Canis lupus familiaris: one gene and its partners. The protein of the gene in region 1 interacts with the protein of each later gene in a biochemical or structural test. Links are inferred from orthologs where the notes say so. Each region holds a gene or a part of one and is shown on either strand. Other genes may lie near its edges.

What was found. The genes of interacting proteins can lie anywhere in the genome.
Region 2: the proteins of XIAP (region 1) and PGAM5 form a complex in vitro, tested with the Homo sapiens proteins (2 studies listed by BioGRID, with this or other methods). The link is inferred for Canis lupus familiaris from reciprocal best matches to the Homo sapiens genes XIAP and PGAM5.
Region 3: the proteins of XIAP (region 1) and HTRA4 form a complex in vitro, tested with the Homo sapiens proteins (2 studies listed by BioGRID and IntAct, with this or other methods). The link is inferred for Canis lupus familiaris from reciprocal best matches to the Homo sapiens genes XIAP and HTRA4.

What each region holds. Positions count from the first base shown.
Region 1 is NC_049260.1:96,110,684-96,114,089, reverse strand, and holds the end of XIAP (E3 ubiquitin-protein ligase XIAP), read right to left. Parts: intron 724-3,406; coding exon 530-723; 3' UTR 517-529; downstream 1-516.
Region 2 is NC_049247.1:429,265-433,587, reverse strand, and holds the start of PGAM5 (serine/threonine-protein phosphatase PGAM5, mitochondrial), read left to right. Parts: upstream 1-1,486; 5' UTR 1,487-1,512; coding exon 1,513-1,703; intron 1,704-2,275; coding exon 2,276-2,463; intron 2,464-4,002; coding exon 4,003-4,218; intron 4,219-4,323. UniProt on the Homo sapiens protein: Mitochondrial serine/threonine phosphatase that dephosphorylates various substrates and thus plays a role in different biological processes including cellular senescence or mitophagy. Modulates cellular senescence by regulating mitochondrial dynamics.
Region 3 is NC_049237.1:27,305,657-27,309,758, forward strand, and holds the start of HTRA4 (serine protease HTRA4), read right to left. Parts: upstream 2,838-4,102; 5' UTR 2,807-2,837; coding exon 2,329-2,806; intron 1,938-2,328; coding exon 1,838-1,937; intron 895-1,837; coding exon 690-894; intron 1-689. UniProt on the Homo sapiens protein: Serine protease.

The DNA of each region.
Region 1 (3,406 bases):
AAAATCACCCACCGAAGCACATGTGTATAATTTTAAAAGAGAATGGACAAAATCCTAAAACACAAAAACAAACATCTAAAAATAATCGGTATCTTTCCACCAGTGTGGAACAGTTCATTCCTTTTCACACAAAACAAATTATGAGATTGGGGAGATTAATTCTAATCTCCACGTTTACACAGAATGCTCCATTTGTTAAGCCTATATGAAAAGGATGAAAAATTCAGTTAACTCACACTTAGAAACTAAGTTAGTGTAGTACAAATACAAATACACATTGTGATCAATTACAATATGATGCTTCTTAGTCTAGATTTCAATTGAGTAAAAAAAAAGATATATAACATCGCTAATGTCCCCCCAAATCCAGAAATTCAAATTTTAGATTACAAACAAGAGCACTGTAGTTTACATTTTGTCTACTTGGTAGCAAATGCTAATGGCATTCGATGCTAATTAAAGTCGGTTCACATCACACACTCAATCAGGGTAACGAGAAGAACATAATGCGCCTAACTGTAGAGTGAGATTAAGACATAAAAATTTTTTGCTTGAAAGTAATGACTGTATAGCACATGGGACATTTGTCAACTGCTTCAGCACATTGTTTACAAGTGACCAGATGTCCGCAAGGAATGAAAACCACAGCAATATTTCTATCCATACAGATTTTGCAAAGCTTTTCCTCTTGCAGGAGTCTGAGCTGCTCTTCAGCACTAATCTCTGCACAAAGAGAAAAGAAATGTGTTAATTTTAGACTTTCTTAGTTGTTGAAATGCATTGAAACAACGAGAACCCCTACTATGTGCCAGGTGCTAATCAAGGCCTGGGAGACAGGATGAGTCACACGTGACACCTGCTCTTCAGTAGCTTGCAGGCTAGAGAGGAGGGCGTGAGCTGAGGCTGTGGGGGAAGCACAAAGTACAAAGTGATAAGTGTTATCATAAAGTTACGTACAAAGTGCTCGGGGATGAGTTGAGAGAACAAGTTCTTCTGTTCAGATGAGTTGGGGAAGGCTTCACAGGCTGGCAGCTGCAGGGCAGGGGGCCAGGGGAAGTGGAGGAGTGACATTTATTTATTTATAAGCTTTTATTTAGTTATTCATGAGAGAGACACAGAGAGAGAGGCAGAGACACAGGCAGAGGGAGAAGCAGGCTCCATGCAAGGAGCCCGATGTGGGTCTTGATCCGGGATCCCAGGATGTCACCCTGGGCCGAAGGCCGTCGCGCAACCACTGAGCCACCCAGGCGTCCCTAGGAGTGACATTTAAACATGGCCAACAGGGGACGCCTGGATGGCTCAGTGGTTAGTCTGCTTGAAGATTCTCTTCTGGGCAGCCTGGGTGGCTCAAGTGGTTGTGCAACTGCCTTCAGCTCAGGGTGTGATCCTGGACTTCTGGGATCGAGTCCCACATAGGGCTCCCTGCATGGAGTCTGCTTCTCCCTCTGCCTGTGTCTCTGCCTCTCTGTGTCTCTCTCATGAATAAGTAAATAATCTTTAAAATAAATAGATAAGTAAATAAACAAACATGGCCAGCAACTTACCAGGCTGAGAAGCAAGGATTAGGTAAAAGAAGTGACATATGGGAAGGGCATGGCTTACTCCAGATACAGAGGGATGGATCTGAGGGACACTTCTGAGGCGGGACTACTAGGATTTGGGGACTGATTAGATGTGAGAGGTGAGGGAAACAAGAGTTGATTTTAAGATTTCTAGTGGCTGACAAGAGGATGGTGATGCCAAAAAGAAATATAGGAGGTACTGGTTTGGCATTTTCAAGTTTTCTTTTTAAGATTTTATTTATTTATTCATGAGAGACACAGAGAAAAAGAGAGGGAGAGACACAGGCAGAGGGAGAAGCAGACTCCATGCAGGGAGCCTGACGTGGGTCTCGATCCTGGGTCTCCAGGATCACACCCTAGGCTGATGGTGGCACTAAACTGCTGAGCCACCCGGGCTGCCCTCAAGTTGTTTTTGAGGTGTTTGCAGGGCATCTATATGTAAATGTCATTGGACAGTCACGTCTTGAGGTCAGAAGTAGTTAAGGCTAGAGACAGAGATTTGGGTGACATTAGCATATAGGTGGCACTAAAGCACTTGCTTAATTCAGCCTTTCTCAAACTAGGTTTTGTGACGTGTTAACAAACATATCACAGAAGTGTGTTTCGTGGTGAAAAAGAACTCTAATAACAAGGGCGCCTGGGCAGTTCAGTCAGTTAAGCACCTGACTCTTGATCTCAGGGTTGTGAGTTCAAGCCCTGTGTTGAGCTCCACTCTGGGTGTGGAGCCTGCTTAAAAAAACAAAAGTATAATGACAACATCATCAACAATGGCAGCAGTTAACAGTAACACAGCACTTACTACTATGTGCCAGGCACTATTCCAGAGGCATTATATATTTTAACAATCTTTGTAGGCCAGTGGTTTCCAAATCTGGTCTCACATGGGAATCACTTGGGGCATTTTTAAAAAAGATTTATTTATCTATGTAAGAAAGAGGGGCAGCAGAAGAGAATCTTTTTTTTTTTTTTAGATTTTATCTATTTATTCATGAGAGACACAGGCAGAGGGAGAAGCAAGCTCCATGCAGGGAGCCCGAGACAGGACTCAATCCCGGGACTCCAGGATCATGCTCTTAGCTGAAGGCAGATACTCCACTGCTTGAGTCATCCAGGGATCCCAGAAGAAAATCTCAGCAGACTAACTGCTGAGCCATGAGATCATGACCAGAGCCCAAACCAGGAGACAGGTGCTTAAATGATTGAGCAACTCAGGCGCACTTGAGGCATTCTTTTAAATGATAAATGACTAGGTCCCACTCACTAAATCTAAAATTTCTAGGGTTGTTTTTTGTTGTTGTTGTTGTTGTTCTGAAATTACAGTATGCAAAATAAAGAAGATATGGTTTTATACAGCAACAACAACAGCAATAATTTCTGAGATGGCACACACTGGTATTTGGCAACCAGTGCTGTAAAGTACAGGTCAATACAGTACAGTGTATGTCCCCTCTTAGAAAGTCACAATGCATGTCCCTATTTAACTACAGAGTTCCTCTTTCTTTTTCTTTCTTTCTTTTTTTTTTTGTTTTTTTGGTCCTTTTTCATGGCATCCCTTTTTAACATCTGGGGAACACTGTTTTCAAAACAAGTTTGGGAACAGTGGTTGACTTTTATTCAACAAATATTTACTGAATACTTAACTAAGTTCTAGGAACTGGAGATACAATTAACAAATATATAGGCCCCAGGTCCCTAATCGTGCATAAACAAGTAGGAAACACAAATAGACAGGAAATTATATTAGAGTGTAACGATAAAGGTAATTTAGTGTGTTATGGAGAACACAGGAAGGGTTTGAGTTGTGCGTGCACACAGAAACAGAAGGAAATTATACTTAAACTGGG
Region 2 (4,323 bases), on another chromosome or scaffold:
CACAGCATTATTCATAGTAGCCAAAGGATGGAAGCCACTCAAGTGTCCATTGACAGATGAATAAACAAAATGTGTTCCATCCATAAAGTGGAATATTATTCAGCCCTAAAAAGGAAATTTTGACATATGTGACAATGTGGATGAACCTTGAGGACACTATGCTAGGTGAAATAAGCCTGTCTCAAAAGAACAAATACTGTGTGATTCTACTTACATGAGGTCCCTAGACTTGTCAAATCCAAAAGACAGAAAAGGGAATAGTGAGTACCATGGGCTGGGGGAGTCAGGGAGTCAGTATTCAATAGGGACAGAGTGTCACTTTGGGAAGATTTAGGTTCTGGAGCTGGTTGGTGGTGGTGGTGGTTGCACAACAGTGTGAATGTACTTCATGCCACAGAACTATATGCTTAAAACTGGTTAAGATAGTGGGGCAGCACCTGGCTGGCTCAGTCAGTAGAACATGGACCCTTCACATCAGGGTTGTAAGTTTGAGCCCCATCTTGGGTGTAGATTACTTAAAAAAAAATTTTTTTTTTAATGGTTAAGACAGGACACCTGGGTGGCTCAGCGGTTAAGCATCTGCCTTTGGCTCAGGGCGTGATCCTTGGGTCCCAGGATGGAGTGTCACCTTGGGCTCCCTGCACGGAGCCTGCTTCTCCCTCTGCCTATGTCTCTGCCTCTGTCTCTCTCTCTCTGTCATGAATAAATAAATAAAATCTTTTTAAAAAATGGTTAAGACAGTAAATTTTGTTACATGTGTTTTACCACAGTAAAAACAAACCCTGCAGAGGTTTCCCAGTTCACTTAAACTAGAATCCTGAATTCTATCCATAAGGCTCTCCCGCCTCCCAGCTCCTTGCAGCTTCGAGGCTGGGACTCCCTCCAGTACCCCTCTCCAAGGAGTGCTGTGGTCTCGCCCGTCGTCTCACACACCCACGCGCACACACTGAGACCGGGTCACACAAGCCAGTACACACGCTCTCCACACACACGCCCCGGCCCTGTCTCTCACACATAGTCCCGTCGCGCGCGCGCACACACACACACACACACTCGCCCATGGCCCGTCGCGCGCACACACGTTCATACACACTGGCGCCGCGGCCTCGTCTCCCTCACACACACACGCCCTCCGCCAGCTCAGGTGCCCCCGTTGTGCCCTGGAAGGCGGCTCCACACGCGCAGCGCCACGCCAACCGGAGACGCCGCGCGTAACGTCGCCGCTCGAAGGCAGGACTGACCTGCCCCAGGGACTTCAGCACGGAATCTGGGAAAAGGCCTCAGAACCGTCGCACCGTACGCCTCTTCCACTTTGTTCCCGGAAGCTGTCCACCCCTGGCCAGGAAGTTCCCCTCCAGCCCCCGCCCCGCTGGCCCTGGGGGCGGGACTTCCGTCCCCGCGCGGCCGGCCGGCCGGAAGCGGACCCCTGAGGAATCGTGTCCCTCGGGGCGCGCCGTCCAGCCGTGAGTTCCTGCGCGGGGTCGGCGCGGGGTCGGCGCGGGACGGGCGGGCATGGCGTTCCGACAGGCGCTGCAGCTAGCGGCCTGCGGCCTGGCCGGGGGCTCGGCAGCTGTGCTCTTCTCCGCCGTGGCGGTGGGGAAGCCCCGCGCGGGCGGGGACGCGGAGCCGCGCGTGGTCGAGGCGCCGGCGTGGGCGGGGACCGCGCGTCCCGGGCCGGGCGTCTGGGACCCCAACTGGGACAGGTGCGGGGCCGCGGTGGCGTCGGGCGCGGGGCCGGTGGGCGGCAGGGCCTTGGGTCCGTGGGGGTCGGCTCCGCAGAGGGCAGGCGGGGCGGGCCCGCGGGTGGACGTCTCTCCCGGATGTGGCCGCGCGGCTGGCCGTGATGGCGGACGCCCTGGACGACAGCGGTGCCGGGGACAGCGCGCGGCCCAGACTCGGGCTGTCAGCCGGGAGCCCTCGGATTGGACGATGCCTAAGGGCGGAGAGCAGGGTGGGTGTGGGGCCCTCAGTGCTGGCCTGGGCCTCGAAGGAGCCTCTCTGCTGGAAGACGGGCGAGGACACGTGGGACAGGAACGTGCGCCTCCGGGTCTTGTCATGCGTGGCCACACGCGTGCTTATGGGGCACCTGGGAAGTGGCGCCTCTGATCAGGAAACACTTTTTAGTGTTGTTTGATGTTAACGAATTCGAGTTTAAAAACCAAACAGTGCAGGTTTTTTATGCTGTTTCTGTGTCGCAATGATAGTATTGTTGATACGTTGGATTCAATAAAGTGGATTTTTGTAATTTCACCTGTCCCTTTCTTTTTAAATGTAGGCTCTTTGGAAATTTAAAAGTACGTCTGTTGCTGGTGGTGTGCTTCTTATCGGACGGCTCTGCTCTGGAGTCTGGGAGTGGTCATTGTGGGATGGTTCACCCAATCCCAACTCCTTACTACTTTACTCTGAACGAGGGGCACAGAACTAGTATTTACTGTCAGCCTCGTTTTATCAGGAACTGCATAGGTATTCTTTGTTTTAAACCTTTAATTTAAAAAAACGTTCGAATAGTTTTAGATTTACAGAAAAATCGGAAAGCTACTAAGAGTTATACTCCACCCCTGATTTTGTCTACTGCTAAGGCTACTGTCCTTGTAATACTGGTATGGTGTATTGGCCACAATCAGTGAACTAATATCTGTTTGTTATTATTGACTGACATTCATACTTCGAGATTTCCTCAGTTTTCAGCTATTGTCTGTTGTCTCTTCCAGGATCCCACCTGACAATTAGTCGTGTTTCCTCAGGCTTCTCTTGGGTGTGACAGTTTCTCAGACTGTCCTTGTTTTGATTACTTTGACAGTTTTGAATATTGATAATCAGGAATTTTAAAGACTGCCCCTCTGTTGGGATTTGTCTGTTTTTCTCATGATTCAGTCAAGGGTCATATTCTCTTTTTCAAATTTCATACAGTCTTCTGAATTTCTTTTTAAGGAAACAGATTCATTGTGAGAATAAAGTATGTATTTGAAGCAGCACTGGATTCTAGCTCTGTTGGTGGAAGCTGACACACTGTATTTGCTCACCAAGTCCGGGTTTATGAAGGAGGAGGGTGTGCTGGAAAGTTCTAGAGCCTCATCTGATGAAATGTCCAGCCTCTTCCTGGAGAATTTCATCCAGTCTAGGCTTCCTATGTGTGTGCCTGTAGTCCCCATGTGTCATCCCTGGCTCAGCCCTGGACTCCTGTGTGGCATCTCAGCCTCTTTGTATTAGGGCACCCTAGGCTCGCCCAGCAGGACCCCTGAGCTGCCACTGCTCTCCTCCGAACTTACCCTGCCACCATTTTGTCCCAGCTGGGGATGCTCTTTTCCTAGCCCATACCACAGACCTTTAGCTTTTTCAAATTTCCGTTCTGGAAGCCACCAGACATCCCTGTCTTCCAACAACCAAATCTTAGGTTGTTTCTCGGCATCTTCACTGGTGCTGCCCCCCATCCTCACCCCCCACCACCTCTTCAGCTCCTCAACCTTCCAGGAGTGCCATCCAATAGACTTTTCATAATAATAGGAATGTTCTCTTCCTCGCTATCCAATGTGATCACCACTATCCTATGGGTTACTGACCATTTCAAATGTTCTTAGTGTGACTGGGGAAATGGAGTAATATCTTTATTATTTTGAATTTAAGTAGCCACACAGCCAGTATCTAGCATTGGACAGCACAGTTGCAGGCTCTGCTTCAACATGGCCACACTAGCTTTGTGGGCACTCCCCAGCTACCCCTTCCTGGTACCTGGTTTCGTTTTCTACACATCTCTTATCACTTGGCTGTTTTTATCAGTCTCTTTTCACTAGAACACAAGCTGCATGAGAGCTTCATTTGTCCACTTCATTCACTGATCACCCCAAACAGGCCTGGCACTCCGCTCTGGGTAAATGCGATGTGCTCTAAGAGGATGGGCTCTTAGGGGCCACAGCAGAGGGCAGAGGGTATTGTTTGTCCCTGCGCTTTCCCAAGACGGAAATACCGTCTAGTCAAAAAAACTCAATTCTGATTTGTGAGCAGAGATCACAAGGACACGCCTCTCATATTTCAACATTAGGCGAGAACCACTATCCTTGGTCAACCTGCGGAAGAGGAACCTAGACTCTGGAGAAGAAGAACTGGCGTCCAGGCTGGACCACTGCAAAGCAAAGGCCACACGACACATCTTCCTCATCAGGCACTCCCAGTACCACATGGATGCCTCCCTGGAAAAGGACCGCACTCTAACACCCCTGGGTATGTGCTGGGACTCAAGCCCCAACTGACACTTGTCCTAGTGACGCTGGGCCCCTTTGGACCTGTGTCAGGGGCTTGGCCCAGATTCAAGAATTGTCATTAACA
Region 3 (4,102 bases), on another chromosome or scaffold:
AGCAACCACCAACTGTCACTCCATAAGATGATCAGGATCATCTCTAAAGTCTAAAATTATTGCTTTGTAGAAATTCCTATAACTAAGCCAGCAGTGAAGTAGCTGGTGAACATACCACTGATATTAGCAACTCACTTAGCACTATACCAGCTCAGAATTCTATAGTCAAAATCAAACCACAAACAGAAAGGAGATGGCCCAGAGCAGTGCTTCTCAAACTTTAATGTGTGCTTGAATCACTCAGGGATCTTATTAAAATGCAGATTCTGACTCAGTAGACCAGGGTGGGATCTTAGATTGTACATTTTTTAAGATTCTCAGATAATGTCAATGCTGCTGTTGTGCAGACCACACTGTGCAGCAAGGACCTCAAAGTATTCCTTAGCATCCTTGAATCCATTGTAATCAGTCCTAGTATTCTAAGGCAAGCAGAGAGAGGTTTCCCAGCAGCAGCAGCTATTGAAGGAGGAGGTAAAGGAGGCTGGATAGTTAATAGAAATTGTTAGGGACATACAAACAGGCATAAAAGAAAATAAGAGTGGAAAATAGGGAAAAAGGAAATTTAGCAAAGAACATATACCAAGTTAAAAAAAAAAAAAAGATGTGTGGGAATTGGGCAGTGAGGGAAATGGCAGCAAACTGATGAAAATCTCCAGATTTACAGACTGATTTGGCCCTTGCACACTCACATTTGGCTCAATCTTAATCAGCGCAAGATCCAATTTATGGTCAATGTCCTTGATAGTGGCTTCATACTGGACCCCACTCTGGAGCTCCACCTGGATCCGCTGCTGGTTGGTGATTACGTGGGCGTTGGTAACAATGAGCCCATCCTCAGACACTATGAACCCAGAGCCGCTGGATGCAGGCATATCCTTGCTGCTAAGAGGTGACCTGTCCCCACAAGACAACAGCATAAGCAGAAGGCAGGAAAATCAGGGGATCCATCACAGTCTGGGGACATGGGAACCTCTCATTGATCAAACACACCTCCACCACAGTTTTCTCAGACATTTTACTATCCCGTCTGAGTTTTTTTATTTTTATTTTTTAAGATTTTATTTATTTATTCATGAGAGGCACAGAGACATAGGCAGAGGGAGAAGCAGGCTCCCTATGGGGAACTCCATACCAGGACCCTGGGATCACACCCTGAGCCAAAGGCAGGGGCTCAACCATTGAGCCACCCAGGTGCCCCCTGTCTGTGTTTTCATTCCCTGCACGAGTACTTAGACTCCTCATGTTCAGTACCCTGGCTACCTCTTAGGAGCAGAACAGAGAGCTGATGCCAACTTTCCTTTTCCAGGGACAACCCCCCTCGCCTCCTTCTCCAGTGCTGGTCAGAGCAGCACCCCTCTGCTTCAGAGAGGCCTACCCTAATCACACTCCTGAGAGCAAACGTGCACCCAGTGCTACATTATTGAGGACCCAGGCAGGTAGGAAGTGGAAGAAGGCTGGTTCCCGCTTAGGTTCCACCACCAAGTGGCTTCGTGACATCGGATTTCCTTCCATGAAAACGAGCCCCCCCCCCCCCCCCGAGCAAGATCACCATGGGGGTGCCTTCTAGCTCCTACATCTGACCTTCAGTTATGTCGTGGGAGTTGAGGGAGAGAGAAACCCCACGCTCCTAAGTGCAGAGGAGTAGCCCGGACCTGGTGGTCGCAATCCCTACGCTTCCGCTCTTTGGCTAAACCTCCGCGAACGGATTATCCAGCCTGTTAGGGCCGCGATTTCCTCGCAGCGGGTTTTAGGACTCAGCGCCGCCTGCGCCGCGGGGGTGGGGGCCTGGAGCGGGGTGCCGCGGGTAGGCGGGCGGGCGGCCTCCTGCCTCCCTTACCTGCGGAACAGCTGCAGGTGCACCACGGAGGGCGCCACCTTCTCCACCACCGCCGCGAGGAAGTTGTACTGGCTCCGGAGCCGGCCGACACTCCAGGCCTCTGGGAAGAAATGCTTGGTTCCTGGGGGCCTGAGTGCGCCGGGCGCCCTATGCAAGCTCTCCGGGTCTCTCCCCAACTCCGCTCCCCTTTCCCTCCCGCTCCTCCCGTCGGGCTCCCCCTCTATTCGCTGCAGAGTTGAGAGCTAAGGGCCTCTTAACTCGGAAGGATGCGCCTTGAGGGAACTACACCTGTTATCCCGGGTGGGTAAGAGGAAAAAAGGGAGGGGGGGAGATGGTATTTAACAGGCCCGGGGAGGCAAGCGGGGAGAAACCACGCAGGCACTGGTAAGGCGACACCTAAGAAGGAGAGAAAACTGGGAACGCGTAGTTGACTCCGGAGGCAAAGGCGCCGGCGGGAGCTGCGAGCACCCCGAGCCGCGGGCGGCGCTCACCTCGCCCCGCGCAGTCGCCCTTCAGCACCGGCACGGCCGGGAGCGCGCCCCGGAGACGCGCCGCGCGGTTCTGGGCGCGCAGCTCGCACAGGCTGGGGTAGGTGCGCCCGTCGCTGCCGCACACCGCCGCCCCCGCCGCCGGGCAGCCGCACGTGCCCCCCCGGGCGCCGCGGAGACGCCGGGCCCCGGGCCGCGCGCCGCACCGCAGCCCCGGAGCGCACGGCCGGACCGCGGCCCCGCCGCACGCCTCGCCCTCGGCCGCCGCGCACACGCGGCAGCAGCGGCAGCCGTCGAGCACCGGCGACGACCCCGCGGAGCAGGCGGGCAGCGGGGGGCAGCGCGTGGGCTCGCAGGCCGCGGGACAGCGCAGCGGGGGCCTCGACCTGCTAGCCTCGACCCCCGGCACGGGCAGCGAGGCCGGCAGCAGCCACAGCAGGAGAAGCGGTCCCAGCGCAGCGGGCGGCGGCGGTCTGGTCATCCTGCGCCCTTTCTTCCACGCTCTCCGGTTCCTCTGGACCCGCCACGGCTCTAAAAAGAGCCTCCCTCTCCCGGAGGATGCCGCCTCCGTCAGCCCCCGGGCTTTAAGGGGCAGAGCCTGGCCGACCTCCATACACACACACACCACCCGTCCCCCCCACCCCGCCCCAGCGCCAGCTCCCCCTCTTGCCATGAAGGGAGGTCCCCAGCTCTCCCCCCCTTGCAGGCACCCACTTCGAGAGGTCCAGAAAACCAGTAATGGGGCAGACTGACAAGAGAGATCACCCACTCACCAACAGAAGGTCAGCGTTAGGAAAACACACACCATATTTCAGTATTTCACATGGTTTTATTACAAAAACAAGCAACAAAACAGTTTTAGAAAACTATTTTTGCTACATACCAATTAGGAGATCACATAAAATGAGAAGCGTAACAGTTTCCATGCACTCAGCTCAGGGCTTACAGCGAGTGCATTTCACAGCTGAAACATACTGGTTCAAAACACCGAATCATGCCACAGCTTCAATAAGCAGTAGGGGAAGAGGTCAAACAGTATATTTATGCTAATGTTAGCTTTATTCAAATTCTACTTAGCATGAGTGACTGTATGACTGTTGCAGGCGACAGCATTGAGAAAAAAGGAGTAAGAAAAAAAAGTGATGTTGGTAGAAAAGATTTACTAAACATTTTTGACATGTTCAGAGTTTATAAACTAAAGCTCATTTGGGAAGCTCAATTTCCAAAATGGTGTTACTGGTCAACAGTGAAAGCAAACATCAAATTCCATCGCTCAACTACTGAACCTGCAAGTTAGGTTCTTTTAGCCCGTAGCAGAGCAGTTATATTCAGGAAGAAAAAAAAAAAAAAAAAAAAACCCTTTTTGCTTCAAGTGACTACAAAGCTAGACCTTACCTCTGCCCTTTCTCATGTGAGTGAGCGTAGCATTCTACTCAGAAATAAATGTATAACCTCCACTATTTTGGCCAGCACCTACTCTACATCTTAGTAGGTTTATGATGTCTCACAGGAAGCAAAAGGTCAATGTTTACCAACCACCAAGTGACCTTGAGTAAGCAAATCCTTAAGCTCTCAAGAACAGGGATGGTAAATAGTTCAATTATAGGAAGACCACCTGTAATACTGTTACACAAACTGGGTCAAGACCACTTCAAAAGTCTTATGAAAACAGCACAACTCAGCGGTTTTTATTACACAAAGAAAATGTAGTACCTTTTTTGGTTCTTTTTTTTTTTTTTTAACTCAGATTTATTCCAGAGCCTACACACTTAACTAC